Astyanax mexicanus: one gene and its partners. The protein of the gene in region 3 interacts with the protein of the main gene of each other region in a pairwise test. Links are inferred from orthologs where the notes say so. Each region holds a gene or a part of one and is shown on either strand. Other genes may lie near its edges.

Region 1 (7,852 bases), on a different chromosome or scaffold from region 3:
GATGCCTCCTCCGACGCCTACATGCAATAGATAGACAGAGAGAGAGAGAGAGAGAGAGAGAATAAGAGAGAGAGAATAGAGTTAGCACAAAAATGAAACAGAGCCAGAATGTCAAAAGCAGAAACATAAAAGAATGATAAAGACAAACAGAGAGACAGATGTACAGACATTTCAATTCAAACAAAAAAATAAAAAGGTGTAGAAAATACAGAATACAAAACAGAAAGGCAGAAAAAAAGATAGAGAGATTGAGCGAGAGATGCCATGATAAGTAAGTGATAAGAGTGCAGGCCATCGCTCTGACACTAAGCCACCACACAGTTTCCTCATAACCTCTCTAGTACATCAAGTTCACACACCATCGGCCTACGTATGTGCGCCTGAGTATAAAAGCGAAAAGGAGGAAGAGAATTAGAGGAAGAACAGAGTGTATGTGTGTGTGTTTCTTCTCTCTTTTTCTCTGCTATCTGAATTCTTCGTATAAGTCTCGACACGTCTTGACATACCTCCACTGGGGCGGAGTTGAGGGAACCACCAAGAGCTGGTTTAATCTAGACCATTATGTGGACCACGGCATCATTACATTAAAATAACATAATTCAGAAACATTTTACCAGCTTGCCATCCGCTAATAAACCAATAGCACAGTCTGGTAGTTCCTGCCTGTTTGCAGATGCTCAGATTTTGCTTAAAACCATGAGAGAAGAGTCTGAAATATCTAAAATACCGAAAAATAGAGTTAAATTTCGGCCATGAAGACTTAATGCATCCTCAGAGATGCTAAAGGACTTATTCCTTATCATTTTGGGTCATCTTGACCCGATTTAATATTTAACATCTCTGAAAAAAATGACTGACATCTCTTTCGTGCTCTATTTTAAGTGTCATTTTCTAATTTGTTGAGATAAACAAGTGAACTATATGTGATAATAACCCATTTCAAAAGAGCTGTACCCATTTTGGTGTTCATTAAGGGTGTTATTATTTGGGGTCAGTCTATTTAAGCTGCATAAAACATGAAAAATATATATATTTTGCCATGGTGTGTAATTTTGAAACATACAGTATAGCTTCTAAACCATTTCTTGATGCTGATGCTAAGTATTCTCATTCTCTAATCTCTAAGCGATGAACTGTCTGGTACATTTGCACTCCCAGATGTAGGGCTTCTGTTTTGATGATGTGTATGCTTGTTTTCTTTCTTTCAACTAAAAATATGCTCTAAGTAAAGGTTTTCTTCCAGTGATATTTAATTACAGAACTGAGAAGAGTGAGGACAATATTGAGGAACAATATTGATTAAGAAGCATCCTCCTCTGGTGAGGATATGACCCTTAGTGTTGGTCTTACTGTCTCGCAACCTCTCAACATTATGCAATGGATATTTATGGTTCTTCTTCCCACCTGAAATACAGGTAGGTTAGGTTAATGGGGCTGATATCTTTCCAATGGTTCCAGGCCCAACTAAATATACTCTCAGCCATATCCAAGACATGGTTAGATACAATCAACATCTGAGCTCTCCATATAAGACCACTGATTAAAGTTACTTTGGTGGGCATTAGGAAGGTTTGTGGGGGCTATATGTTCGTTTTAGGGCTATTGTGGTCCTTTCAATACCTAAAAGACAGAGTTGATTGTGTAGATGATACTCATTTTATCAAAATGGTTCTAAGCCCAACTAAATATGCTGTCAACCATGTCCAAGATATATTATATCTCCATATAATACTACTGACTAAAAATAGATACAACTACTTAATATATAATGAAACTAAACTTGGGTCTGAAATAGCTCTAAACTGCTCTCCCAGAGCTGTCTGGTGTGTTTGCACTCCCACAGTTATGGCTTCACAAACATGCATATATTGAGGCATATATGCTGGCCTGTACCCTCCTGTTGTTAGTGGCATTACTAGTGTCCAAGAAATAACTATAAACATCTCCATAGAACACCATTGATAGATCACTTATGTTGATTTTTGTTGAGTTTTGTGAAGGTTTGGGATGGGTATATGTTTGTTTTTGGGTGTTCTTAAGCACTAATCAAAGAAATCTAGCTTAAATATATTATCCATATGCTTAAGGGTATTAAAATATATTTTAATGTTATGAGATATCAATGATAAAGGATGTTATTCAATATAATTGAGGATAAACATAACCAAGCTAGCTAGAAACGTTTTTATCACCTTCACTCCCACATGACTAAGCTTTAACAGCTCATATGCGTTATAACAGAGTCCAAATTCATAACATATATAGCTGTTGAGCTTTAAAAGGCTCAGATTTAGCACAAATCACGACAATAACTAACCAAGCTAAACCTATGGCTAGATAATGTTGCAACAATAAAGGAGGGGGTACAATGTTATAGCTAGCTAAAATATGGCCACAAAGCTCAAGCCCTGCCTCACACAGGTTATCAGGATCCTCTAATTTGTGAATTTGTTGCTTTTTAGATTGTTTTGACCCAAAATGGCTCAAATAAACAGTAAAACAGTGTGTAAGCACCCTCTAGTCCACTCACCATGGCCAGCCGGTGTGCTGTGGTCTTCTCTCCGGGCTGCTGCGTGTTTATCTGCGGCTACAGGCTGAAAAGAAGACGCCCTACCCGGCTCCTCATCGCTGCTCCCGGGCCTGCGGTCTCTGGTTCCCCCTCTTACCGTCTATAAGCGCCGATACACGGCATGCCGCTCACCCCAGTCCCGCAGGGCCTCGCCTGGTACCGCTGAAAGCGCAGCCGACACTTGTTACGGTGGAGGCCGGGGAGGTGGTGCTGAGGGGCGGACTGAGCTCGTGTCAAGCCCCACTAACCGACGCTCACCGCGGCCCTGGATAAAGCGTCTCGCCCCGGCACACCGAAACAGCCACACACGCGTTTTGGAGATTTTTCTGAGCCCAGGAGAACAGCGCCCGACCCCCGCCTGCAGTTTAACACAGCCGCTGGCTCTGCTCTCTCGCCCAGGCCGCGCAGCTTCCTCTCTCCGCCCCAGCACAGCCCCTCCCCGCCGGATGTGAAATCTTAATCTTGGGCCGGATGAAACCGGCCGCAGCAAGAAGTGTGGCACAACCAGGCAGCTCGGTCTCTACAGCAGCAGCTTTAGCCTAAAATCACACTGCTAATATAATCCTAAATAAAATAATTAAAATCACACCAGTGATAATATCCTAACTAAAATCACTGATATCACACCAGTAATATTATCCTAACTCTGTTTATACTGCTAAAATCACACCAGTAATATTATCCCAACTGTTAATACCACTAAAATCACTATTAAACTCTGTTTATACCACTAAAAAAACTATTAAACTTAGTTTATACTGCTAAAATCACTATTAAACTCAATTTATACTGCTAGAATCACACACTAAACGCACTAAAATTACACCATTGATATTATCCTAACTAAAAAACACTAGTGATATTAACTGCTAAAATTAATATTAAACTTAGTTTATACTGCAAAAAATACCCCAGTGATATTATCACTAATATCACTAATAAACTTTTTATACTGTTAAAAAATCACTAAAATTACACCAGTGACATAAGCCTTATTAAATTCACACCAATCATATATAGATAGATAGATAGATAGATAGATAGATAGATAGATAGATAGATAGATAGATAGATAGATAGATACTTTATTGATCCCCGAGGGGAAATTCTTGACATCCAGCAGCAGGTGAGTATAGTACACAAAGTTACAAAAAGATAAAAAAATATATAAATGATACATATAAATACAACAAAATAAACAATAAAATGAAATTATAAAAGTACAGTCTTTAGTGTGTGTGTGTGATGTAAAATGGAGGTAGTGCAGTTGAACACAATAGACAGCGAACACCAGCGATCATAGAGTCCTAAATCTCTTCATACTACTAAAATCACTATTAAACTCATTTTTTTACTGCTAAAATTACACCAGTGATATAGTCCTAACAAAAATCAGTAATCATATCGCTAATAAACGCTATTTATACTGCTAAAATCATCATTAAACTCAGTTTATACTGCTAAAATCACACCTGTGAAATAATCCTAAATTTATACTACTAAAATCACTATTAAACTCGATTTCTTTTGTTAAAAACACACCAGTGATATAATCCTAACTAAAATCAGTAGTCATATCACTAATAAACTCTGTTAATACTGTTAAAAATCTTTATACACCTAAAATCACTACTAAACTAAATTTATACTGCCAAAGCACACCAGGGATATTATACTAACTCAGTTTATACTGCTAAAATCACTAATAATATCGCTAATAAACAGTTTATGCTGCTAAAATCACTAATAAACTGACTAAACTACTAAAATCACTATAAATTGCTCATACTACTAAAACCCTAATAAACTATTTACACTGCCAAATTCATTAGTTAGCTGTTTATACTACTAAAATTGAGTTTGATGGTCTAAGGGCATATCTGGGACTCCACCTTCAGCTTCTACCTACGAGTGTAGAGCTACAGGATCTACAGGCCCAGCTGTAGCAACATCTGTGGGTAAATGTGCTGCAGGATGCCATGTGGAATTTGTAAACCCCATATTCAACCGCGCAGTAGATTGTCTCACCTTGCATCTATGCTAGAGCCTTTAAGATCCTGAAAACTATTAAAAAAACGATTTGTTTTTAATTTGTATTATCATTATTTTATGACATCATTTTATGATATGTTATTTTATGTTAACCATGGTGGTTTATTATTATGTCTTCTGGTTGCAATGCTACTGAGCTTGTGTACTCTGTTTGATCCTTGCTTGGTAAGGTTTTAAGGACTTTTGTAAGAGAAGAAAGATCATGTGAGTTAGCTCATTCTCACTTTGCCTGAGGGGTGACATTCAGACCAGAGAGAGAGAGAGAGAGAGAGAGAGGCCTTAATCAGAAGAACAATCCACACATTATCAGCCTGACCTGTGGAAATTAGGAAACCCCCATGTTTTCATTTCTCATTTCTAAAAGTAACAAGCACTAGGTCTGAGCTCTCAGCTGTAATGCCCTTAGACTGGTGTTGCTGACTCACTGCACTCATCATTTATCATATTATTTAGCATTATGATCTAGAAATTTTGCATTATAGTCAATATTTTACCAGTTGTCAACCCACAAACTTTGAATTTGCTCTTTCTACAGTCATGGAGCTTTGAAAAAGAATAGCCAATCATACACGCATAAACTGATCTTTTGTCTCTGATAAAGGGGAAGTGATGAGGATCGCACTCACAAACAAATTAGTTTATTTTTGCCATTCTTTTTCAGATACATGTCACTGAATGAGAAGATTGAGCATGTGTGCTAGGGTAACTAGGTCACATACAGGAGCAGGAAGTGACCAGAATGCTCCAAAACTTCAAAAAGAACCCACAATTGCTGAGAGAACTCTTCAAGTGTGTTATCCTGTGATCTACGCATTATGCGTCTGATACAAGAAGAACCGTATCAGCTAGTCTGAGTGAAACACAAAGGAAGCATTGTTATGATCATTTATAAATTGTACATTTTCTCTTGTGATCTCGTTATTTATATTTGTTAGTTAGTACAACATAGCACTTGTATTCACAAGATTCAGGCATTAAAGAATTAAAAATAAACCATTATCAAATTATCAAATAAATGGAATAGAGAAATACCCATATTTTTCCCATATTTTTTTTCTATCACTATTGAGCATAATACTGTTTTTGAGCAAACTGATATAGCGTAAAAACATGATATTAATCACAAAATATCATATGAAATCTGTGTACATTAAATACTCCTGTACCTAGGCCTGTCACAATAATTAAATTTTTACATTAATAGCTGAAATATGTTGCTCTGTCATAATAATAAAACATTCAAACTCTGCTTAAAATCCTTAAAATGAGATTCAAATATGAACAGAATTTAGATATTTGACCATATTTTGATCAAATGTTTACTTAGTAAAGTCCAAATGAAATAAAATAGTTTAAATATAATTTTAAAATGGATGTTATTTATCATTTTAGTCTATACAGTCACTGGTTTTAGTATACATCTGCCCAGGGGCTTTTATTATGAATTCCAAAATGGCAGATTAGCCATAATGGTTAAGGAGTACAGTTGTTAAATATTAGTGATTAAACCTAACATAAATAGAAATGTATAGTTTTAGTATACAGTACTATAATTTAATATAGCTAATAAAATAGCAATAAATAAAATAGCTTCTAGCACCCATAACTTGTCAAGAAGAGAAAGAAAATGGTCTACAATGAACTCAACTAGAGATGTACATTCACTATATTTTATAAATACTTTTATAAATGGCATTTGATTGTGATTCTGTGTGAACAGTTCCACTAAAACTTTTGATTCTCAAATCAGAAAGTGTTTATGATGTCTGTGGCTGGTGTTCAAAATGAAAGCAAAAGCAAATATGGTGTTTCATATCAGTATGACGCATAAAACAATCATTAAAGCAATAAATACCCATGTGATAAAATGATAAAATGTGTAAAACCCCGTCCTTTCCATTAAAATCTGTTTCTCCAGTCTCAGCTGCTCTTTTCGGATGATTGGATGTCCTTTGATTGGTTCTGTTTTCTGATTGCTTCTATAGAATATGCCCAGGCTCTGTCCACGCCCTGACCCTCTATCCTGCACGGCGTCCAATCAGGGAAGGGGAAGCGTCCAGCGATGATCAGAGCATCTTCAGGGAGCTCGACCAGCAGTTTCTCCTGTAACAGTGTGAGCTAACGGACAAAAGATAATAGAGTTCATTGTTTGTGGCATGACACCAGAGATGTGATCTGGCAAGACCTTAGTGCAACATAGGGCTTACAATTCAATATATTGTGATATGTTGCAATATACTGCAAGCAATTTTAGTGTATCATAGTATAATACTATAAAAAACAAAGTCACATTTAGAAAGGATCTGAGTAACAGAAAACATTATTTTTTATCCAATCAGAACAGTGGGATCTAACGACAGAGTACAACACTGTTATCTAGGGGGCGGGGTTTAAACACAACACAACAAATCAACCACTTCTGACACCAATTTCTACAGGTATAGTAGTAATTAAAATGTATTCTGTTTTTGAAAATTGTTCAGTATTGCAAACCAAAATGCTGAGGTGCAATGCAATATTGATATTTTTTTAGACCCTTTAATGATACCACCTTATTCTGGCACAAATTAATACTTTATTACTTTCGTGTATCGACAGATACTGAACATATATTTGGTTTTGTTAAAAACATCTAAAACGTGTTAAATAGAGTCTTCATTGACTTAAAGCAGCATTATGTGAGAATTGCCAATTTTGCTCCTTGGCTCCCCCTACATTTAGGAAGTGGAATTTGTAGTATGATTTTTTTAAAACAATGTTTTAAATAGTGTACTATTTTTAATTTACCTGTTTTGGTATTATGTAGTATTCCCCTGTTACTGGTAATAAAATAGATAATGTGATTGGATACCTTGTTATTTTAAGTAACATCCTTTAAAAATCATTAAACAAATAATTACAGAACAAGAAGACTTGCTTTCAACATGCATTTCTGGACAGCCTGAAAGATACAGAATCATCACTAAAAAATTTAAGGATCATGTGGACTGTAGAGCTTAGATTGGGCCCAAAAAATTCAGCCCATCAAGCTTGTGAATATTCTGCCTGAGCCAACCTGCACCATAAACTATCATTATGAGCCCAAGCCCGATTTAAACCTGACATTTTTTTAGAGCTTTTTAGAATATATTCAGGCTGTTTGAATGAGCGAAATCTGTTCAGAATTATGTTAATTAACATTGCAACACTGAAAAAGCATAGACCTATTATTTCAGAAAAATGTTTATTAAG
Region 2 (7,569 bases), on a different chromosome or scaffold from region 3:
TATTTAATCATAGTGCAGTGTAAAATACATAATTTTAGTACACACAATACATGGAAAAAACCATTGTCTACTGTGAGCTTTGCCTACCTCACCTAGTCTCAGCTACAAAACACTGGATGGAGCACAATTATTCCAAAACGCTCGATGCTGAAGGGTTTAAATACCACTCTAGACCAAGTCTGGCAACAGGTTCATGTTAATCTGCTATTTTATTGACAGTACTTCATTACAGGGACTAGTAAAAGTAGCTGAATTCATTTTCATTATATAAAATCTTCCTGTAAACAAGCACTCTTCAAGTAGGGCATGTTTATATAAAGCAAACATTTTAAAATTAGGCAATGATAATGACCTACATCCATCTCGCATTTTAGACAACACCCATATCTACAGAACTCTTTCACTAAAAGCATGCTGGAACATGGACTTGGCATTTTCTCAAGAACGCATGCCTGTACCTTGACTTTACGATCATCTGCTGTGGTCTCGTCGAACTCTTCTCCCAGTTTGAAGTTGATTTCTGTGTTCTTGAAGGTACTGACTGTCTTTAACGTGATGACATCACCTTCCAGGGAAATTATGGTGGTGGGTTTGGTCATGCTGCCAACCTGACGTGTTGCAAAGCCCACACCTGGAATACAGAATACAAAAAAAATCTATTAACTCATGCATATATATGATACATATGGTCAACTTTGAAAACTTAATGTTCTAATGTTTTGGCTGTGTGTTTTTTTTTTTGTACAAACCTGAGCACACATGAATGTTTAGCTAATAACACTATTTCCACATTAGGGGACAACAAAAACACCATGACTGAAAGGACCCAGAATCACATGTTCCTGTTCTTGCAGGAAATGGTTCTCTCAACTGAGCTTAATATATTCACACAGACAGAGCCCAAGGCATGACTGGAAAGTACATATAAATTAAACATATTTCCTCTGTCCCTCTCTCACTGGCTCACAACCACCCCCCACTAACATTCATTGGGTTACTCATGGGTGAACATGTCCCAGCAGATGACCAAACTCTGGAACGGTCATAAGGGTCAAGGTAACACTCACAGACATGCACACACAGACAGAGCAAGCTGTTCATATTGATCTGATTGATTTGTTCTGTAAATACAGTGGGTCAGTGTGGGCAGGGGTGACTCTGACCTTCTGATAGAGACAGATGTTTAAAAGCAAAGAAGCTAAACTAGCTAGTTCTTGCCCCACCCAACTCCCCACCACACCATCAGTCACACAGTAATTCCCACCATTCACTTAAGGATCCTCCCTAAAGCCCACCACAACCCACCCCCCCGCTTCTCTTCTCTCTAGGCCTCATCCACACACACACACACACACACACACACACTTTATGGACTGAACAAACGTCTATTGTGTGCATTGTGTGAAGCTTGTGAGTGATCAGTTAAGGCAGAGCACTTGCTGTTGCTGCAAGGCGTGGACATGTCAGGCCTAATGTCCCTCTCCTTTACACTTAACTTATAACTGCAGTCAAGCCGAAGTCAAGTCGATACAAGCCAACCTGAAACACTGGTCTAACAAATATAATCATAATCAATCATACTTCCCATTTCAGAAACATGAAGATTATGATGGAACCAATGGGAATAGGTTACAAATCATTGCACATGGTGTATAATATTACATTACTTAAAAGCATCCAGGCACTTTGGAAACTCCCTTTTTTTGCATGCACTCAAAAGCATGACTCACTTTTAACACACTCATATTCCAGAGATTATCATCTAGAGTCATTATTGTCAGACTCATAACTGAAAAATACAAAATGAGATCAAGGTACTATCTTGTTATTTTAACACTAATTTATTAGTCTGAGCTACTATTCATTCGTTTTTGACATTAAATATTTAATTTGAGATCTCATTTCAAGACACTAAGTCATTATTTGGAGATACTATCTTGATATTTTAAGACACTAATAGATTAGCCTGAGATACTAATTCATTAGGTTTGAACAATTCTCATTAGCGTAAGACGCTACATCTTTAGTTTACAATACATCTTTGGTAAATGAAATTTACACTAATTTATTAGTATGAGATACTAATTCATTATTTTAAAGACACTAAAACATTGAGATACTTCTTGTAAGATACGTAGCAAATCATTGTTTAAGTGAGTCTCACTATAGTAAGATACTGATTCTTTAGAAATGCTAAAAATACTATATAAAAGATCCTCACTTTATTGTGTATTATATATAGCAGGTTGTTATGCTGAGGAAGTAATTATTTTGAGATTTGTATTCAGGCATGGGCGTGTTGGGCCTAACCTCCCTCTGCTTTACTCTTTAACCTACATCTGCAGTCAGGCTGGAGTCAAGTCGATACAGGCCAAGCTGACACACTGGATTTAACACACCATAACCGAGCTCTCGAGCTCTAACGAGAAACGCGCAATCACTGCTGCTGCATGCATACAGCATGCACGTGGTGGGCACTGCTAGTGCGTGGGTGCCAGTCAGTGCATTACGATACATTTATCTGCGCATGCAGCTCAGATGTAGCTGGCAGAACCAGACAGGGGGATCCTCCCTCCTTCATTCATTCATCTTTTCATTCATTTATTTAACGTTATCTTTTCTCTCCATCTGTCCGTGCATCCACCACACACCTGCACATGCTCACGCGCTGCCTGTGGACAATTCTGCATTAGAGATAACCCGTGCAAACACACAGAAACACGGCCTTTTTGTTTCTCGTTCATGCACATCGCCACGCGATCACGATCACGAACAAGCACCTGCTCGCGCCCCTGTGTAAACATACTCACCCAGGGCTTTCATGTAGTCGTCGAAGTTCTTGCTCTCCTTCAGGTTCCACGTGCCGACGAAAGCCTCAGCCATGTTTTCGGTTTCAGAGCAAAGCAAAGGAGCGCAAGATGAGCAGACGGACGGAGCGAGTGGGAGAATGAGCGCGTGAGTGATGGAGGGGGCAGAATAAACGAGGCACGGAGAACAGCTACTCTAATCTTACTGGCTGATTTATACCGGCTGTTCCTAACGTCACCAGCCTGAGAAGGGGCGGGGTGGAGGAGGAGGAGAAGATAGCGGGAGGAGGGGGGGAGAGGGAGGAGGACAAAGAGAGAAAGAGAGGGAGACGAGGAGAAAAGAGAGAAAGAGAAGAGGTTATGGAGGGAGGGGAATGTTGGGTGGGATTGTGGGGGATGGTGGATGGGAGCTGTATTGAGAAACTGTGTAAGAATTAAGTAAAAGAGCAAGAGAAGAAGCTTGTGTTACTGAATGCAATCAAGTGCTCACAGCAATGAGTGAGCAAACCTAGTCCAGGACTAAATCTGCATTCAGAATACTGTATAAATACTCGTCTAAGACTGGGCTTAATCCCTATTTGGGAAGTTGCCCCAAGTGTCTCAAAACAATAAATTAATATCTCAAACTAACGAGTATCCCAATGTAATGGCTTAGTATATCAGAACAATGATATAGTATCTCAGAATAATGATGTAGAATCTAAAACTAATCAATTACTTAGTCTTAGTACCACAGCATGACTGTGTCCGTAATAAACCCTAAAACTTTATGGGTCGCTCCTATAAGACTATAGTCCTAAAGGACAAATGGAGGAATGTTGAGTGGGATTGTGGGAGATGGTGGATGGGAGCTGTCTTTAGAAACTGTGTTAGAAATAAGTAAAAGAACAAGAGAAAAATCTTGTGTAGCTGAATGCAATCAAATCCTCACAGCAATCCACATTCAGAATGCTGTATCATGCAAGACTGCGTTCGATCCCTATTAGGGAAACTGTCCCAAGTTTATCAAAACAAAAAATGAATATCCCAATGCAATGAATAATGTCTTATATTAATGAGATAGTATGTCAGAATCAGATTTAGAATCTAAAACTAATCAATTACCTAGTCTTAGTACCACAGCATGACTGTGTTCGTAATAAACCCTAAAACTATATGGGTTGGTCCTAGAAGCCTATAGTCCTAGATTATATTTTCTTTAAAACGTAAGAGAGTATTTTAAAATAATGATTTGGTGGCAGTTTTCTGGACTGGAATTAAGCCTCCTGGACTATATAGGATTTTGAATGGAGCTTTTCCATTAAAAGCCATTAGTTCAGGACTTAACCTTGTCCTGGATACTGTCCCTTAGTGTATCAAAACAATAAATTAATATCTCTGCATCATGATTTTGTATCTATAACTTATGTTTTAGTATCTTAGAATAATGAGAGAATATATAAAAAATAATCATTCAGTTTCTCAGAATAATTAATTAGTATCTACAACCCATGTCCACAGCATGACTATGATCATGAAAAGCTATATTGGTTATTTTCAGGACAGGGGTTGTGTTCTGTTCATGTCAGTGAGTAAAAATCCAAGTGTAGAAGCAACAAAACCATTTAAATCTGGGAGTGGAGAGAAAAAAAACACATATAGTAAGCAGAAGGTGATAGAACAGACAGACAGACAGATATCTTATATAAATAGCTTAATCCCTATCTGGAAAACTGCTCCTATCAAATTTTAAATTTTAAGTTGATAAATCTAAGTAATAACTCAAAAAATATATACAAAAGTCTATACAAACAGACAGAGGGAGGGGGGGGGAGGAATGGTGGTTGGTGGGGTGGTGGGATGTTGGATGGGAGCTGAACGGAAGAATTAAGTAAGGGAGGAAGGGAAGGAGGGACAACAACAGCTGTATTAACAGTCGCTGTGCTTAATAGTGTGTGTGTGTGAGAGAGAGAGAGAGAGAGAGAGAGAGAGAGAGAGAGAGAGAGAGAGAGATTGTTCAAGGCCTGTACAGCAACATGCCCAGGCTCTTATAGAAAGATAGGAAGAAAGAAAGACAGAAAGAGAGAATGTGGAGAAGGAGGAGAAGAGTGTGTGATTTAGGGGTCAAGGTCAAACGGTCAAACAGAGTCATGCAAAAATCACTTTCCCATCAGCCCTTTACACAACATGGTCTGTTAACCTCATCTCTGTCTCTCTCTCTCTCTCTCTCTCTCTCTCTCTCTCTCTCTCTGTGCTCAGGCCTCTTTCCCACCCTCAGCTCAGTATTTTGGGAGAGCCTGTGCTCTGTTTATCTCAGTCAGTGAAAATCCAAGTGTAGAAGCAACACAACCTTCTAAGACTGGGAGCGGATAGACAGACAAAAAGACATATAATATAGCAGGAGGAAGGTAATTTTTCTTAAAACACTTTCTCATTATTTTAATAATATTATAATATATAATATTATATATTATTATAATATTATAATATTTATAACTTAATAAATAAAATAAGTATTGGCAGATATGAGCTCCCATAAATAACACAATAACCACAACACACAATTGTGGTTCATGTTACCATGCAGAAAAACGTATGTTCTCATTGGCTGAGGAGGTGGAGTTTATATCATTTTTTGCAGGCCAAAGATCCTCATGGGACAGCTATCACCTGCAAAGAGAGATAGTAGATGTAGTTGTTCTAATTGTGGTTGGTGTTACTTACTCCAAATGCTCCACAGGTAATACTACACCTCATTACAGAGTCAGCTCCTCCTCCACAGCACAATGATGAATGTACACAGCAGGCAGCTGACCCGGCTCTGACGAGAGCAATTGTCCTTTGATTCTATCTCTCTCTTTCTATCTCTCTCTGTCTCTCTCGCTTTCTTTCTTTCTTTCTCTCGCTCCTTCTCTGTTGGGTGTCCTTTGTGAAATAGTGTGTATGTTTAGGCCATGTTGTTATCATAACAGGGTCTTAGATCTCATTATAAGCTTCTGAATTATTTATAGTGTCTGACATTCTGTAAGAAAGCAGATGTTGTGTCGTTTGCAGCTATTAGCAATCATCTGTTCCTGTTTGTTTCTCTGAGTGAACGGCTTCCTGCTGTGGTCAGCTTGGGCCGGACCGCGGGGACTGACAGTTTCCTGTAAAATCTGTAAAAAGTGATTTTATCAAGAAAGATCAATACAGAACATATTCTGTATGAGTGATTTCAGCAGAAGATGAAGTCCAATAAGTCATACACATCTACAACATCACTCTCTATTTCAGTCCACCTCAGACCAGTGCGCTGTATTAACGCAGAGGTGTCACCTATTAAAGAGATGTGACTGTGACTAAGACTGTGACTGTGGTGTTAAAATGAATTCCAGGAAGAGCACAGCTATTTAGTGTTTAATGTTTTCCTCCTCTAACACACTTTATTCAGCTCATAAACGACTTGGAGTTGAGCTGATTAACTGCTGTAGTGTGTTTATTAGAAGCCCTTTTTTAATTTCTTGAAAAAATGTTTACACTGACATACCAAAAGACAGCAGAATGTAAACTGATCATGAAGTGTTAACTGAGGGGACCATTTGGGAATGCCCACACCTATAAGTTGTGAGGTATTAACTTGTGAGTAAGGCTTTGTAGTGGGTGCCAGATGGATGAATCTAATAAATATCTAATAAATCTAATAGACACCCGTCCCTGGACAGTAGAGACAGTTATTCCAATAACAGCAGGATAAACTCCTTTTAATACCCTTAATTTCAGTGAAACAATGCATGAGAATATGTCCCAGTACATTTGTAAACTCTCAATTTCTGAAGAAAAATAAAATAAATATTGGGAATTTAGAGCATAAACCAACATGCAAAAAAAAAATTAAACCAGTGGTATTTTAATTAAGTATGTATCTGTTTTTCAGCCCAAAAAACATAATCATTTAAAGATCCATAGGCAAGTCATCAACAGTATGCCGTGCAGATTGATTTAGGGCGTGCTAGTGAGTCTTTGCTATCATAACGACAGGAAAAGTACGCCTTGTGCGACTCAAAATATGCAAAAAGCATGTACTAATTCTCTTAATTAATCAGGAGTGTGTTTTGGGCATAACATGCAATATTATGCTTTAAGAGTCAGGTGCGCTCTGACTGGCGGATTGCTATTTCAGTGGTGCAGCTACCTGGATGTGTTCAGCGCATCTTAGCAAAGGACAGTGACCTGCTCATTCATGCTGTAAGGTACATGGAACAGCAGAAATCCAACAAAGATCCTTGAAGTTGTATTTTGTAAAGCAATTGTATTTTGTTTATTATTGATGGAAAAGTGGAAAGGTCTGGCTGTTGACATCTGTGTAGGTTGTTTCCAATCAGTGGAGCACCTGTGTTTTCTGTTGCCAAGATCACTAAATTAGATCACTTGTCTTTCATCATCTATATTTTTTTAGGAGTGGGAGGAGGTAGATGAAAGACTTCTTACTTCTTAGGAAATTGTCTCTCTCTCTCTCTCTCTCTCTCTCTCTCTCTCTCTCACACACAAACACACACACACACACACACACACACACACACACAGATGTACTTTATATCTTTCACCTGCATTTCCTGTCTTAGCCAATCTGTTATTTAGCATGCTGCCACATACATTTTGATGGTCTTCTTAGGAAACTGTGTGAAGTGTACACACACACAGTGGGTACATTTCCCCTGTATTTCCTGTCCTTTTTATTATTTAAGTTTATAGACTGGTATTCGTGTACACATCGTCTATTAAAAGCAGTTAGACACTTTTGTGT
Region 3 (7,696 bases):
CAGCTCCGAGAGTAGGGCCTGTAGAGACGGGTGCAGTACTTGTGAGACCTGACCAACAGAAGGAAAGAGGAGAGGGTGAAAAAAGAGAAAAGAAAAGAATGGTGTCATTAAAACTGTATGAATCTTTAAAATTATGAGTTTCTTTGATTTTACCAAATTTAAATCAAGAGGAAGATGGATGATCACAAGCCATCAAACCACCAAACTGAACTACATGCATTTTTGCACCAGGAGTAAAGCAGCATAAAGTTATCCAAAAGCAGTGTGTAAGACTGGTGGTGGAAAACATGTTAAGATGCATAAAGAAACAGGGTTATTCCACCAAATATTGATTTCTGAACTCTTAAATCTTTTTCTTGTAACTTACGCAAAATACACCTAAAATAGCAAAATCAGAAACACTGATTCAGAATCCAATAGCCAATATTTAAATCACAAAATAATCAAGTACTGAATAGCTATATAAATGATTTCTGCCAGAACATAAAATAAAAGTTAATTGTACCCATGCAGACCCCTGGTACTGTCCTGAATAGGGACAATATATTTTTTTTAATTAAGTGTTTTTTCATATTGCCAAGAGTATTGTTATCACGAAAATGCCATGAAATATAGTGATATTGTTTTAGGGCTATATCGCCAACCCCTAATCCTAAAATCAGGATAAACCACAGACCTGTAGGCTGCACACCCAGCGACAGGGCGGGAGTGGTCTGCACTGCCGGGGCTGCAGTGGTCTGAACTTTGGTCATCCCGAAGCTGAAGCCTCCTGTAGACGGCTGAGCTCCGGCTGTAGTCTGAGCACCAAGACCTCCCAGTGTAAAGCCTGTTCCAGTGGAGGAAGGTGCTGCTAGACCCCCCAGAGACACTCCAGTACTGGCAGGCTGAGAGGCAGTAGGCAGGCCCAGGCCTAGTTTCGCAGTGGGTGCACTAGAAGTGAGAAAACATTTAAAATTATTTTAATTATTTTACCCCATTCTTCTTTATAACATCACACTTTTCAAATTTTTATTTGATTAAAAATGTTATAATTATCGATCATCTTCGTTCCACTTTACAATTATGTGCTAATTTGTGTTGGTCCATCATTTAAAATCTCCATAAAATACATTTAACTTTGTGGTTGTAAGACAACACAATGTTAAAATGTTTAAGGGGTATGAATACTTTGAAAAGCCACTGTAGGTAGACATACAGGGGTTGGATAATGAAACTGAAACACCTGTCATCATTTTAGTGTGGGATTTTAGGTTTCATGGCTAAATTGGAGCAGCCTGGTGTTCAATCTTCATTAACTGCACATTATTGCACCAGTAAGAGCAGAGTGTGAAGGTTCAATTAGCAGGGTAAGAGCACAGTTCTGCTCTAAATATTGCAATGCACACAACATTATGGGAGACATACCAGAGTTCAAAAGAGGACAAATTGTTGGTGCACGTCTTGCTGGAGCATCTGTGACCAAGACAGCAAGTCTTTGTGATGCATCAAGAGCCACGGTATCCAGGGTAAAGGACCAACCACATCCAACAGGATTAACTGTGGACGCTGTAAGAGGAAGCTGTCTGAAAGGGATGTTCGGGTGCTAACCCGGATTGTATCCAAAAAACATAAAACCACGGCTGATCAAATCACGCAGAATTCAATGTGCACCTCAACTCTCCTGTTTCCACCAGAACTGTCCGTCACCACAATCAATTATTGTGCTCTAAAACCAGCTGTTTCAGTTTCATTCTCCAACCCCTGTATCTATCAGTACAGCGTCTTCTCTCAGTAATACCTGTACAAAAAGTCTTACCCGAAGGAGAATCCTCCAGGAGCAGGAGCGGTGTTCTGCGTCGCAGCACCGAAACTAAATCCCCCCTGTGAAGCTCCATTGTTGGCCGCGGGCTGAGCGAGCAGTCCTGCGATCTGAGACGTCCCGATGGAAGCCTGGGTCTGGGGCTGGGCCTGAGGCTGAGTCGGGGCTCCGAACGTAAAGCCCCCTGCGGCCGGGGTGCTGGTCAGCTGTCCAAAACCTGTAGCAGCAGCCGGAGCTGAGCTGGTAGTTTTAGGGGTTCCAAAAGTAAAGCCAGAACCAGCACTGGCCTGTCCGAAACTGAAGGACATCTTCCTCTCTTTAAATACTGAAATATTAGATAAAGAATATTAATAAATAGGATCGTTACAAAACAAGTTGTCTCTTTTAAAGCAACCCTGTTCATGATTTATTACAGTACATCCCTCAATGTTGACTTTATTATTATTATAAGATTATTATAAATTATAAGAGAAATTTTACAAAATAATTCAAGTCTGGCATGGGGGCTAGATAATACCACCAATTTTGCTGACTGTCCCAATGTCCTATCGTCTCCAGATAATTGACAGCATCTTAAAGAACTGAATAAGATTATAGTACATTTCCTGAGATTACTAAATATGGAATTTTAATTATTTTATATTATTTAATATGATTTAGATATTATTAACTTTTCTAATGTTTTTATGTGCTGTTGCTTTGCTTGTGTTCTTGTTTATACCAAATTTACACTTTAAAGGGACTTATCTCTCTCCATCTACGCACAGTGTGTGTGTGTGTGTGTATAAAAGTCATATAGACATATGTATAGAGATATAGACTTATAGAAAGCTAGAGATAAACACACACTCTTGCTGTGTTGAGGTAAATAAAGTAAATAAGGTAAAGTAATTACCCGGCTCAGCTCTCAGCTAGTCATGCTTTCGCTAGTTAGCTTAGCTTAGCTATGTTGTTAGCTCTGCTCGCTAACTAAGTGAACTAGGCTAATGTTAAGCTTGTTACCTAAACACTCCTGCTGATGTGATTTAATCTATAATAATAAACTCTGCAGTAACTGAGAATAAATCCTGAAACAGCAGTACAACTGATTTACCTCAGAAAAAGTGCAGAAAGCCGGATCCCATTCCTGTAAAACTCCTCGCGCGGAAAAACAAGTCCGTCAGCGCGGCGCTACTGACACTGCGCAGGACCAGAGGGCACATCTCAAACGCTTCATGCTGCCTACATAGTGAACTACATAGTCCATTAATAAAGGCTGTTAACCGCATTTAGAACAGTCCCTAGCATAAAGGAAGGGAGTCAATTGTGATCGAGCCGGAGTTTCCCCTACGTTTGCCTGTTTAAAATAAAGGCTCTTCTCTTTATACCGTTTTATAGAGTTTTATAATAATAATGTAAATATATTTTTTTATATATATAAAATCAAATTTAGCTGTATTTAAAATTCAACTTTGAATGCGTTAGACTATTAAGAGTAAAACAAACACATATTTATATATTTTCCATTAAACATTAAGAGTTGTATAGTAGTGGTTGGTAGTTTTCTTTAAATTTTTGTCAAAAATTAAATGAGGCAATTAATATAGTTAAAATCTGTCTAAAAGTTGCATAAAAGTACCTAATAAGGTACGTTTTACGTTTTTTTTCTTATTCAATTTATTCCCTTGCTTACTATGAGACCACTAAACTGTCTTTTTGGTATATTGAATATTGGTATTTTTATATTTAAAAAAAATCAAGTGCATGCAAATAAAAAAAAAATAATAAAAAGTAAAATGTATTAGTTAAAGCAGAGGTAAAATACAAAAAAAAATCATATAGACTATAGGGCTGTGTCCCAAACTGCACAAGACCCCACCTAATTGTATTTAGCGTGTATTTATTGTGTAGTGTTTATTTTAAAAAATGTATGTGTGTGATTTGGGAGACAGGCTTAATTACAAACGATATTTTCTATAAATAATGGAAAAGAATAGTTCCAATCATACGAAGGGGAGTTAATGTTCCAGTCCAGCGGCGCTGCTATAATGAAATATTGATTTGATGATATTTGATTATTTGAAATATTGACATTTCAATTTTAATCCATTTTCTGACGAGTTTTCATAGACTAAAATGTTCTTTCTTTATACCCACCTTCTTATGTTCTTCTGCGTACACATGCAACAGGTTTATCAGTTTTATTTCACATAGTATGTGTGTTTTTGTGAGATGGGAGCAAAGACCAGAGAAACAAAGTACGAAATAAACTAAAACACAATATCTTTAATCTGTGTTTCAAACAAAAATCAGCTTCAAAGTTTATGTAGTACAATAATACAAGTCAAAGTTTATATACATATATACAGCCTTTACATGTTTCAGTCTTCACCCAAAACAAACATTTTATTGTTAAATATTGTCTCCAACTGGTAATGACTCATATAAAGTGACCCATTGACCTATTGATTTATTGACCTATTTAAAAACACTGAGCTATTTACATTTTTGACTAAAATATGGATATCAGCTTTAGTGGACACTAAAGACATCTATTTTTAATGACATTAAACATAGCCTTTGCCTTTTCAGATTCCAGATGTCCTTAAAAGACTATTATAAAATGAAATTAGCAAAAGTATAAAAAATGTCTCAAAAGCTCTAAAAAGTTTTAAACATACATACACACTCTCATACATAATTACACCCACACATACAGTATACACACCAGGGCAATTCAGAGTTTCCATTTAACCTGTTAACCATGTTTTTGGACAGTGGGAGGAAACCCAGACACGAAGACATGGAATACCATGGAAAAAACATGAAATGTGTTATAGGAGAACTCCGGTGTAAAATGGACTTTTGGAGAAGTAAAACATGAAAAAAAAGTACTTACCTTAAGTTATTAATGCCTCGTTTTAAATGTCAGGGCTCTTCGGATTCTAGTGAGGAGGTGTGGAGCTACTTTGAGCTGGATAACGGTGTAAAAAGTGATTCATCAAGGCAAATTTTGCCCCGTATCTCCCAGTCTGAAGGGTGTTTGGACAAACTGTTAAAATGTCTGGATCTCTGAACGCTGTGGGAGAACGGAGGTGTGCTATTCATCAAAGGAAAGAATATTTTATCATGTTTTACTACAACAAAAGTCCATTTTACACCAGAGTTCTCCTTTAACCAACAAGCCTCTGAGCCACTTGTTCTCCCTGAGTCTAGAATAATCATGGAATTAAGACCCATAATAAAGACCCAGTTCCATTCAGAGCTGAATGTTGACCTCGCTGTGAGTGCCGTCACCATCGGTAGTGCTCTCGTTACCATCGGACAGAAACCCGCTGCCTGAAAGCTGCATCCTGCTCTCCAGAGTGGTGACCCTCTGTTTGAGTCTCTGCTGTGTAGCCGTGTATTCCCCCAGCAGCCGGGCGAAGCGGGTCTGCAGGGTATCCAGGGACGTCTCCAGTCGTTCCACTTTCTCCTCCATCTGTTCTCCTGTAAGCCCCCCTGCCCTCAGCTCCTCCAGCAGTCCCTCCTTCCGGAGGATCTCTCGGCCCCTCTCCTCCAGCACCTTCTTGGCATCAGGGTATTCTATCACCGCCTCCATCAAGTCATCCTTGGACAGGCAGAAGAGGTCCGAGTAGCCGATGCTTCGGATGTTGGCCGTGCGCCGGTTGCCCATCTTGCTGCCCTTGATGTTGAGGATGCTGATCTCGCCGAAGCAGCTGCCAGAAGTCAGGAGGGCGAACTGCGTCACGCCGTCGTCAGCGACCACCGCCAGCCGACCTTCTTTAATGATGTACATCTCCTTCCCAATGTCTCCTTTCCGACAGACGTAGTCGCCCGGGCTGAAGACTTGAGGCCGAAGCTTCAGAACGAGCTCCACTAAGAGCCCTGCTTCACAGTCCTGCAAGATCCGCACCTTCTTCAGAGTCTCCAGGTGCACGTTGATGGCGATTTCCGCCCGAAGCTTGTTGGGAAGGTTCTTGAGCACCTCTTGCTCATCGATTGCCTTCTTGTTGGTCCACAGGTAGTCAAACCATTTGATGACCCGAGCCTCCAGCTCCTTACTGACCTTGCGGAACTGCATGTAGTGCTTGATGGAGTCGATGCGGGCTTGGAACTCGGCACGTGTGGCGTTCATGTTGGATATCATGGCTCCTACGTTGCCAACAATGGTGGCAAAGATGAGGACACCCACTAGGAAGTCGAAGATCACGAAGAGGTACTCCTCGTCACGCACTGGTGCAGGCATCTCGCCAATGGTGGTGAGCGTGAGGGTGGACCAGTAGAGGCAGTAGATGTAGCCTCTTGAGAGAGCACCAAACTCGGGATCCGAGATGTTAGGGTAGACCCACTGGTCTGAGCCGAAGCCAAGAGACTTCGAAATGGCGAAGTAGATGCAGGCGTTCCAGTGGATGATGACCAAGATGTAGAGCACCAGGTTTCCAATGCGGAAAGTGTTCGGATAGCTTGTGCGAGTTTCCGTACGATCAAAGAACTCAAACAACCGAGAGAAGCGCATCAGACGATTGAATCGCAGCTCCGGTACGTGGATTCCAGTAGCGATGTACGCCAGGTCTGTGGGCAGGATGGACAGGAGGTCCAGCTTAAACTGGAGGTTGCTGATGTAGGTGTCTCTTAACTTTTTGAGGTCCTTCACCAGAAGACCCTGCTCCAGGTAACCTGCGGTGTGGAAATTCATGTAATTATTTTCTTGTAATTTGGATTCAGGTGATTAAAAAACAATATAAAATCATTTCTAGAACCAAAAGTACAACATTTAGTACATTATTTCAATAAATGCAATTTTTTTTCAGACTTTTGAGTGTTGTGACTGTTGACCGAGGCTTCTGACCTGTTCTCAGTCTCACACAGGTGTCCAGTATGTAGACCAGATCAGAGAGGTAATCCAGAACCAGCCACACAATGTAGTTGTTGGTTTGAAGCTCATCAAAGCAGGCCCTGTGTTTGAAATATCAATGGCTAAATTGTGAGCCTGCCACAGGAAATGCCCCTTTGCACTGGGCACAATTGCAGATATTTACATAAATCAGCATAAAAATGAGTATCTAAATTAGACCTGCTCGATTCATTAGGTTTGAAGCTCTTAAATTGTTGTTTTTCTATGTAGGGAACATCTCAACCAGGCCAGCTCTAAAGCAGATCTGTATTAAAAGCTTAAATGTTTTTTTTACTGAATTGTTGTTCGTATAATTTTAGAAATACATATTTATTCCTTCTATTAAGCAAATATTTAACATTTTAAATCACCACCAGTAAGACAGGTAAGAATAAGACAGGTGTTTTTTACCTGGCCACCAGTAGACACCAGTTGTACAGCACAGCGGTGGCGATGATAAACAGCCAGTGGTAATACAAGTCGTCTGCTGCTGCGAGGACAAATACGTCTGACTTCTTCCTGTAGATGAATCCCCCCCAAAAAATCTTAGTTTTAAAGATTATAACTGAGATATGACCAGTATAGCATTTTGTAAATTGATTAAAATTGAATACCATGATTAATGACGAATAATCACACTTTTTCTTCTATAAGACTAAGCTGAAATATGAATAAAATGTGAATCATTGTTAGAAACAAACAAACAAAATTTGTATCTTTGGAGCCAATCGCTTAAAAATAATGTCATGTATTAATCACGACAATATTATGTGACTAAATCATGGATTAAAAAATATTACATTTATTAATTGCTGGTACTTACAGTAACTGGTATTTTTAGGAAAGGGACAGTAATAATAGTGTAGTATAATATACACCTGAAGACTAGATCCTTTTTTTACTGTATTATAATTTCTCAAGTATTAATTATTTATTAAATCCACCCTGAGATATTATAATATAATATAATTATAACTATAATATCTATTATAAAACTGTATTATAATACCTCAGTGTAGTTT
Region 4 (7,896 bases), on a different chromosome or scaffold from region 3:
TTAATAATTAGGCATAATGTGGTACTGATTACTGATCAGACCTGTCACAGTAAACTGGGTGTGGTGTGGGCGTCGACCAAGCTGTCGGCGATCATTTGCCGGCCACGTTATCCTCTTTACCTTTTTATGTCGGTCTCTTGTGGAGCTGATGTCGTCCTGCAGGAACTGAGACTCAATCTGATACTCCAGGTTCCTCAGAAGCGCAGAGTCGGCCTCCTGCAGATCCCAGAGCAAAAATTACAGTCAGAGATCAACACAACAAACAACACACACAACTTTCTCAGATTTAGAAACCTGTAAGAAAGCTCTGCTTCTGAGAGCTACAGCTAATCTGTAAATAGTATCTCTCCTTAACTCCAAACATGTCAGCAAGGTTTCACATATTTAGTTCTTTAAATGACTGGATGACCTGCATTTTTATTTTTCTCTTTACAATTTGGGCTAATTGGCACCTGATTAGTGTAAAAACAAAGAATTATCTTTTTATATGATGTAGTTTCTAAACAAATAAAAAAATAATGTCCACATATGAGGACGTTTGGTTTATATTTCAATAGAACACAATGAAGTCACAATCAGTAATGATTTGCAAAACAGTTATTTTGTGCCTAAACACAGCAGCATTTTTGCCTGAGTGCAAAACAAAAGTAGAAACAACAATTGTGCCCCCTTTGAGCAACCTGTCTCATTTGAAGTGCTGCTTCAACACGAACCGACATAACAAAGGAAAAAACATAATTATTTACTGTATTTACTGTTTGTTTTAATTTCTTCACAAAAAATCGAAAGGCCTATATAGAGCAAAATTTTAAAAAGAAATGTGACAGCAGGTCCTAGGAGGTTAAAGAGGCACTAAATTGTGTTCCATTGTAGCAATTTTTTATACATTTTTATAAATCTTTGCTGACCTTTAAAAAACACTTATTTTAGTTATTTCTGGCTCTGCAGCGCCATCTCAGGTTCAACTGTGTAAGAAAACAATCAATAATAACGCCCCTTGATGATATCCAATCATCTGGGTCTCACTGCTCTCAGAGGCACACACTGGTCAGTCCAATCAGCTTTCCTTTCTGTCCCGCCCCTAAACCCATACATCACCCAGTGCCCCTTCCAAACTACTCCTCCTATTTTTCAGCATTTTTCGAATTTGAGCTGAGGTTGGAGTCCTCAAAAATTAAAAATCAGGGAGTTTATTTATCCTTTAAAGACACTGTCGTACCTTGTTGAGCTGCTCCAGCGTCCCTCGCAGATGTTCTTGATATTCACACTCGTTTCTGTATCTGTGGGAAAAAGACGGTTATCAGAAAGCAGCTCGACCAAGTGATCCACCCTAAACCAAACCGTGACTTCACATCTGTGTGTGAAATTCTCTGACAGCATATGCATTATTTTATACACTGTTTTGTGTATAAAACAGTAGATTACTCAATATCCTCAGCTGAAGAAAGGAAAACTGAACAAAACTTCTGTGCTGAATAAGAAACATGAAGTAAACAATATGATGCAGCAAATAAGATCCTCTCTCTGTTCCTTTCTGTTTATCTGAATTTTCTTATCTTAAAACAACCTGTTTTAAGAATTATGCCATTATTTCTTCTTTTATTAAGTTTGTTCTATTAAGTTTGTATTACTATAAATATATGTTGATGCAATGGACTGTATATTTCATTATTATTTTAAGGGTGAGACTAATAACTTTTTTTTTAAGATCACACCTACCAAATTTCTCACCATCTCAGAAGTTTTTTTCTCTAAATGGTTCAAATGCTTATAAATCATATATCAAAATTATGACCTAATTTTTCACAAATAGTTATTAAAATGTCACGTAATGAGTGAGGATTGATTATGATTATCTTATGTTTTTTACTCATGTCTAAACACTTTCACTTTGTATATCTATTAACTTGTTTTCTTCTTTTCTAACTTTAAATTGTGATGGTATTTATGTGTAAAGAATACCCTGTTATCTTCTTTTTTCTGAATGGTGACTGATCTTATGATTTTAAAGCATTTTAAAGTATCAATTTTCTTAAAAGAATTCCATTTTATTAGTATTGAGGTAAATACAGTGAGTTATATTTTCAAAAAGTTAGATAAGTTATATGTTAAGAGCGATGTTTCACTTCATTTCAGCATAGTAAGTGCATGTAGTAACTATGCAATTACTTTCTGGACAGATATTTTTTAAGGTGCTCTGTGCATGTATTTAAACATGATTTTTTTTTTATCTATTTTTTTACTGCATGCTTCATGTCTGTAAGTTGTATTTATTTTTTGTCTATTTTTTGTAAGTTATATGTGTGTATGGTTCTAGGTGTGTATTGTTTTGCTTTTTTGTCTATGTGTGAGACTAATTTTAATGTGTCATTATTCAGGTAATATTATATTATTGTAATTATCTTTTATTATATGATAAGTAATATTTAGTAATAACTTATGAATAAACCTTTAGGTGCTTGTTGTTGTTGTTGTTGTTTACCTGCTGTTGAACTCGTCCAGCATGCGCTCGGCTTCCTTCATCTCGCGCTCCAGCTTGGCGCGCTCGGCCTGCAGCTCCCGCATGCGCTGCCGGTTGACGCTGATCTGCTCGTGGAAGGCCTCCTCCAGCCCTGCGGCCTCCTCCATGCGCTGCAGAGTCTCCAGTTGGGCGCGGAAGACGGCGTTGCGCTGCTCGAGGACTCGGGCGCGGTTGATGTAGCGAGCGAAGCGGCTGTTGAGCTCCTGCAGGCTCTCCCAGGCGGGCAGTGTGGCGCGGGCGCCGGCATGTCCGCGCTGGGCGGCCTCGGCATCGTCTTCAGGGCTGCCGGGGTCCTCGAACACGTCCGTGCGCTCGTACTTCTTTTTGTGCACCTCGTGCTTGTAGGTGGTCTTGAACATGGCTGCGCTGCTCTTTCAGTCAGTGCTCGTGCCCTCAGCACCTTTAATGTGTGAAAACTGGGCTGCTCACCCTCGGAGGGCTCATGCTAGACTGACCGCTGCCCGCTGGGCCCATCCGGCGAAATAGCTTTAAAAAAAAGGAAAAATCTCTTTCCCCTGCTCTCGATTTTGCGCTCAGACCCTTCCAGTCACCATTGTGCACGAGGCAGAAATAAAGCAGGGCTTTGCTGCGTCAAACAAACTATTGTGGTGCTTTTTGGTCTCCGCTTTACAGCGGCTCGGTTCTGTGGAAAGTTCGGCCCCGGCCAACAATGAAAAACTGCACGAGCTGCTCTTCTGTGAAACGATACAATAAAACAACAGAGAATAACCCGACCTCACCCTGAATACCTGCAGCAGAGACACCAAACAAAGCCCTTTGTTCTCCCACTGAAAGAAGCTCTCTCTCTGAGCCGCGGTGTGTTTATATAAAGATCTTTAAAAATCTTTAACCCAGAGTCCCAAACAAGTCTACAGTCTTTTGACTGGAGTCCAAGTTAAGTCAGAAATCTGTAGGCTGGAGTCCAAGTTATATCACAAGTCTTTTGAATCAAGTCCAAAGCAAGACACAGGCTAGACTCCAAGTCAAGTCACAAGTCTATAGGCTGGAGTCGAAGTCAAGGTCATTTTTTATATTTTTATATTTTTATAAGTCTTTAAGCTAGACTCCAAGTCAAGTCTCAAGACAGTGAAGTCACAAGTCTTTTGACTGGAGTCCAAAACAAGTCACAAGTCTTTTGAATAGAGTCCAAAGCAAGACACAAGTCTTTAGGCTAGACTCCAAGTCAAATCTCAAGACAGTAAAGTCACAAGTCTTTTGACTAGAGTTCAAGTCAATTCACAAGTCTTAAGGCTAGAGTCCAAACAAATCACAAGTCTTTAAGGCAGTGTCCAAGTCAAGTTATCCATATTTAAGCCAGAGTCAAAGTCAAGTCACAAGTCTTTAGGCTAGACTCCAAAATAAGTCACAAGTCTTTAGGCTAGACTTCAACTCAAGTCACAAGTCTACAGGCTGGAGTCCAACTTAGACCCAAGTCTTTAAGGCAGTGTCTAAGTCCAGTCACAAGTCTTTAAGCCAAAGTCCAAGTCAAGTCACAAGTCTTTAGGCTAGAGTCCAAAACAAGTCACACGTCTTTAGGCTAGACTCCAAGTCTAGTTACAAGTCTTTAAGCCAAAGAACAAGTCAAATCACAAGTCTACAGGCTGGAGTCGAAGACAAGTCACAAGTCTTTAGGCTAGACTCCAACTCAAGGCACAAGTCTATAAGCTGGAGTCCAAGTCAAGTCACAAGTCTTTTGCACCTTGGATCGGATTCCACAATTTGCTGGCATTTAACCCAACCGCCATTTAATTTACTGACCTCCTTTGATATAATGATATAAATTTGATACAAGAATAACATTTAGATTCACGTTATGTAAAAACATGAAAAAAGATCAGTGTGACAGTGACAACATTAAATGAATGTATAAAGTTTGCTTTAAAAATAAAATTTTATTAATTAATTTGCATTGCTACAATCCATGATTTTCCACCTCATTTTTGAGGTCAGCCACACACACATACAGAAATTTTAGTTCTATTTATTTCTTCATTTTAAAGTTTTGAAAATCAATAAAATCCATATTATTAATAATTTCACCATATTTGTACATAACAAAAAAATCTCAAACTCAAAAAAGCTGATCAAAATCTGTTTTACACAGAAAACACACATATAAATACATACATATATCCCAAAGCCATAAACAAAAGAGCAATGGCTGCCTGTGTTCTAAAATCATACTGTGTGAATGAAGTGTAATGTGCTTTAAAGCATTTTTATATTAATAGATGTTTTACTAGTGCCCCCCCCCCCCCCCCCCCCACTGCAAATCAGTCATATCACTCAGGCTACGTTCACATTACCAGGCTGAAGTGACTCAAATCTGTTTTTTTTTTTTGCTCAATGTTGCTCAGATCTGTTTTTTTCATGGCTGTGTGAACGTGGCAAATCAGATTTTTTCAAATCAGATTTAAGTCACTTTAATATGTGGTCGTATCCGTATTAGCAATAGCATTAGCGCTACGTGCTTCTTTCTCGTACCCACACTACATCTATTGGTGTAGCTGTGCAGCTATAGCTGCGGAAAAAAAACAGCAAAAGCAAACCGCCTGGCCTTTTTTCACCTCCTCGACCTGAGCATGAACTTCAGACCAGCTGCTTCCTGTTTCTCCACTCCAGCAAAAGATGCTCCACATATGAGCTGCTAACATTTCCCTTTATAAAGCTACGAGTCTCTCCTCTCTCTAATATGAGTTTTTTTTTTTTGATTGTTGGTGAAGAAGGAGACGTTCATACAGGTATTAATGTGAGGCGCATGTGAGACGGTGTTTCAGGAACAGCTTCGTTCACATTACACACAGATACAGATCACTTACATTTACAGTGAATGTGAACCGTCAAGATCTGAGCAAAAAATCTGATTTGAGCAATGCGGCTTATAACAGGTAATGTGAACGTAGCCTAAGTGTCTTAAAGCAGAAGCTAAATGAACATCCTGCTCCTTAAGTTCTCAGAATTCAGAGTTTTAATGTTATTGTAAAAACATTATTGTTTCTGTTCGCCAGTTTAAGGTGAAAACATGCAGTTTTAGAGACAGTTCTGTCCGTAAAATAATACAGCAGATTAGACCACAGGCACCCAAATGCTAAACAACATCTTCTGAAAAAAATAAAAATAAATATATCAGATGCTCTCAGGTGATTTTTTTAAATTTATGACATGATTTATGATTATTGTAAGCAGGTGGTTTTCAGAGCTCCTCGCTCTCTTGAGTAGATTCTCCTTGAGAAGTGTTGAATATCGCAGGATAAACTGGTTTATTATTAAAATCTCCAGTTAGTGCAGCAAAGTGACTTCCAGTAAGTGATGGTTTCCTGATGGGTGGATGGACCTGTTGATGCCACTGAGCTACAGAAAGAAAAAACTGGATGAAATCCGAACCATTGCAAATTGCTTTGCAGATATTTTTATTATTTACAACATTCTTAACCATTAAGATTTAAGAATGTTTAAAAATGTCTTAACTAATGTCAATTAATACTTGAGACATCACTTAATCCATTAATAATGTTTATTACTGTTGTAAATAAGTGTTAATATTTCTGATTCACAGTTACATAAGACCATTTTTATATAATAAAAGTATATTACACACACTGAACTGAAGTTTGAACATTTCTGAATAATTCTGACAGGTATGAATTATTGAATAACATTAACATTAAAATCTACAATGAAAAAAAAGAAACATTCACCCACCATAAATATCTAGTCTGGCTGTGCATGAAATGATACCACTATCATTTTTTGCAGACACCGTGTACCAGCCAGCATCCTCTTTCCTGGTTGGCTGAATAAGAAGGCATCCGTATCCTGTTGTGTCTTGGTGCAAACTAGATTAAAAAAATTATAAGCAAGAGTAAAAATTTAACGTATACAAGAATTTTTCATAAATAAAAAATTTGCAATATAAAAAAAAATCAAAAATATGTTTTTTAAACATCTCCCTTGAGGGCCGGTTATTATTTAAAGTCATGTCATATTCATAGGTACAGTGTGTATATACTGTACACTGTAGTGTTCTCTATTAAATAGTGGTTTTATTTCAGTTTTTAGAGTTTTAGAGACTCACCTGAATCTCTCTGTCGTCTCAGACAGAGTTTCATTATCTTTCTTCCAGAAAAACACAGGTGGGGGCATGCCGACTACCCGACATTCCAGCCGGACTGGCGTTCCCTCTGTGATTCCGGAATTCTGCAACTTTTCCACAAAATATGGAGCTTGTTTCACCTCTTTCTCTGAAAAACAGTAAAAAAAAAAACAGTGTTTATATATGGTGCAATATATGGTATTAACTGAATAATTCACATACTGTAAAAAAAACAAAACTTATATTTGTTTTGCGTAATGTGATTTTTAAATCATCTGAACAAGAAATATTGAACTGTATGGGAAACTAAAGCAAAATAATTACTATATTAATTCAACTATTATTATTATGTTTTTTTGTAAAAAAGTTGAACAATAGTTGATGACGAGCCAACTTCTGTGCACTTTACAGCACACTGCACATGCTCAGTTTGACTCCCCAGTTGAACAGGGTCTACTGAGCAATTATTCAGGGGTTTTCACCTGATGTTGGTCATGCTATTTGCATATTGGGCGTGTCTTCCCACCTCTCACTTACTGTCACTGTGTAGTCATTCCCCACAGGCTGCTGCTGCTTCTCTTGGGGTATATATACTGTATATATGTGTTATATAATAGTTAACTATAGCCTGATTTCAATGTTGAAGGCTGTAAGAGTAAGTTACTGTGTAGAAATAGAAATACAATTATTAAAAAAGTGTAGTCACCCCAAAGGTCACATGCGTACTAAGAGGTAAAAATGCTACACTTTTTTATGCAAAATACCAATTTTTTTTTTTAAATTCACTGTGTTCATTGATGTTTTTCAACAATTAACCTTTACTAGCATCCAGTAGAAGCGTGAAAATGTTTTTTTAACTGATTTATTTCCTTGTTTTTGTGGATTATTGTGTATTATTATAGTATTTTTTGACGCACGCGAATCAAGGTGATTTAATTCTTACCGACAACGCTGAGCGTGAGGCAGATAGAACTCTGCCCGGCTTTATTGGAGGCGATACATGTATACGTTCCAGCGTCGTCTTTCGACAGAGGATCAATAACTAGAGAGTGAACCCCGTTTTCTCTGACCAGCATCCGGTGAGTCAGATCCGGACGTATTGGTTTTCCGTTCACCAGCCACATCATTTCCGGATGGGGGAGTCCGCTTACCTGAGATTAAATAAAACAGTTCTGTGAGAATCTTAAATTCATCTGAAAACTGCACGTGTTCATATCAGCACTGCGTAATTAATGTACCTTACAGTCTAACCTACAGAGCCGGCCCTCGTGAGACACCATGT

Evidence for each region.
Region 1: the proteins of nup62l (region 3) and xpo6 interact in binary tests that used the Homo sapiens proteins (3 or more experiments, as listed by UniProt). The link is inferred for Astyanax mexicanus from reciprocal best matches to the Homo sapiens genes NUP62 and XPO6.
Region 2: the proteins of nup62l (region 3) and fabp3 interact in binary tests that used the Homo sapiens proteins (3 or more experiments, as listed by UniProt). The two-hybrid records come from large-scale screens. The link is inferred for Astyanax mexicanus from reciprocal best matches to the Homo sapiens genes NUP62 and FABP3.
Region 4: the proteins of nup62l (region 3) and filensin interact in binary tests that used the Homo sapiens proteins (3 or more experiments, as listed by UniProt). The two-hybrid records come from large-scale screens. The link is inferred for Astyanax mexicanus from reciprocal best matches to the Homo sapiens genes NUP62 and BFSP1.

What each region holds. Positions count from the first base shown.
Region 1 is NC_064426.1:39,391,166-39,399,017, reverse strand, and holds the start of xpo6 (exportin-6), read right to left. Parts: upstream 3,007-7,852; 5' UTR 2,534-3,006; coding exon 2,531-2,533; intron 18-2,530; coding exon 1-17. Other genes in the region: antkmt (adenine nucleotide translocase lysine N-methyltransferase), read right to left, coding at 6,542-6,739. UniProt on the Homo sapiens protein: Mediates the nuclear export of actin and profilin-actin complexes in somatic cells.
Region 2 is NC_064410.1:50,268,647-50,276,215, reverse strand, and holds the start of fabp3 (fatty acid-binding protein, heart), read right to left. Parts: upstream 3,013-7,569; 5' UTR 2,884-3,012; coding exon 2,811-2,883; intron 632-2,810; coding exon 459-631; intron 1-458. UniProt on the Homo sapiens protein: FABPs are thought to play a role in the intracellular transport of long-chain fatty acids and their acyl-CoA esters.
Region 3 is NC_064417.1:1,308,194-1,315,889, reverse strand, and holds the start of nup62l (nucleoporin 62 like), read right to left. Parts: upstream 3,018-7,696; 5' UTR 2,892-3,017; intron 2,124-2,891; 5' UTR 2,107-2,123; coding exon 1,796-2,106; intron 931-1,795; coding exon 677-930; intron 49-676; coding exon 1-48. Other genes in the region: cnga2a (cyclic nucleotide gated channel subunit alpha 2a), read right to left, coding at 5,037-6,457, 6,630-6,736, 7,086-7,193. UniProt on the Homo sapiens protein: Essential component of the nuclear pore complex. The N-terminal is probably involved in nucleocytoplasmic transport.
Region 4 is NC_064414.1:2,560,460-2,568,355, reverse strand, and holds the start of filensin, read right to left. Parts: upstream 3,014-7,896; 5' UTR 2,881-3,013; coding exon 2,483-2,880; intron 1,281-2,482; coding exon 1,220-1,280; intron 217-1,219; coding exon 121-216; intron 1-120. Other genes in the region: mypn (myopalladin), read right to left, coding at 5,715-5,872, 6,224-6,357, 6,597-6,762, 7,558-7,765, 7,853-7,896. UniProt on the Homo sapiens protein: Required for the correct formation of lens intermediate filaments as part of a complex composed of BFSP1, BFSP2 and CRYAA. Involved in altering the calcium regulation of MIP water permeability.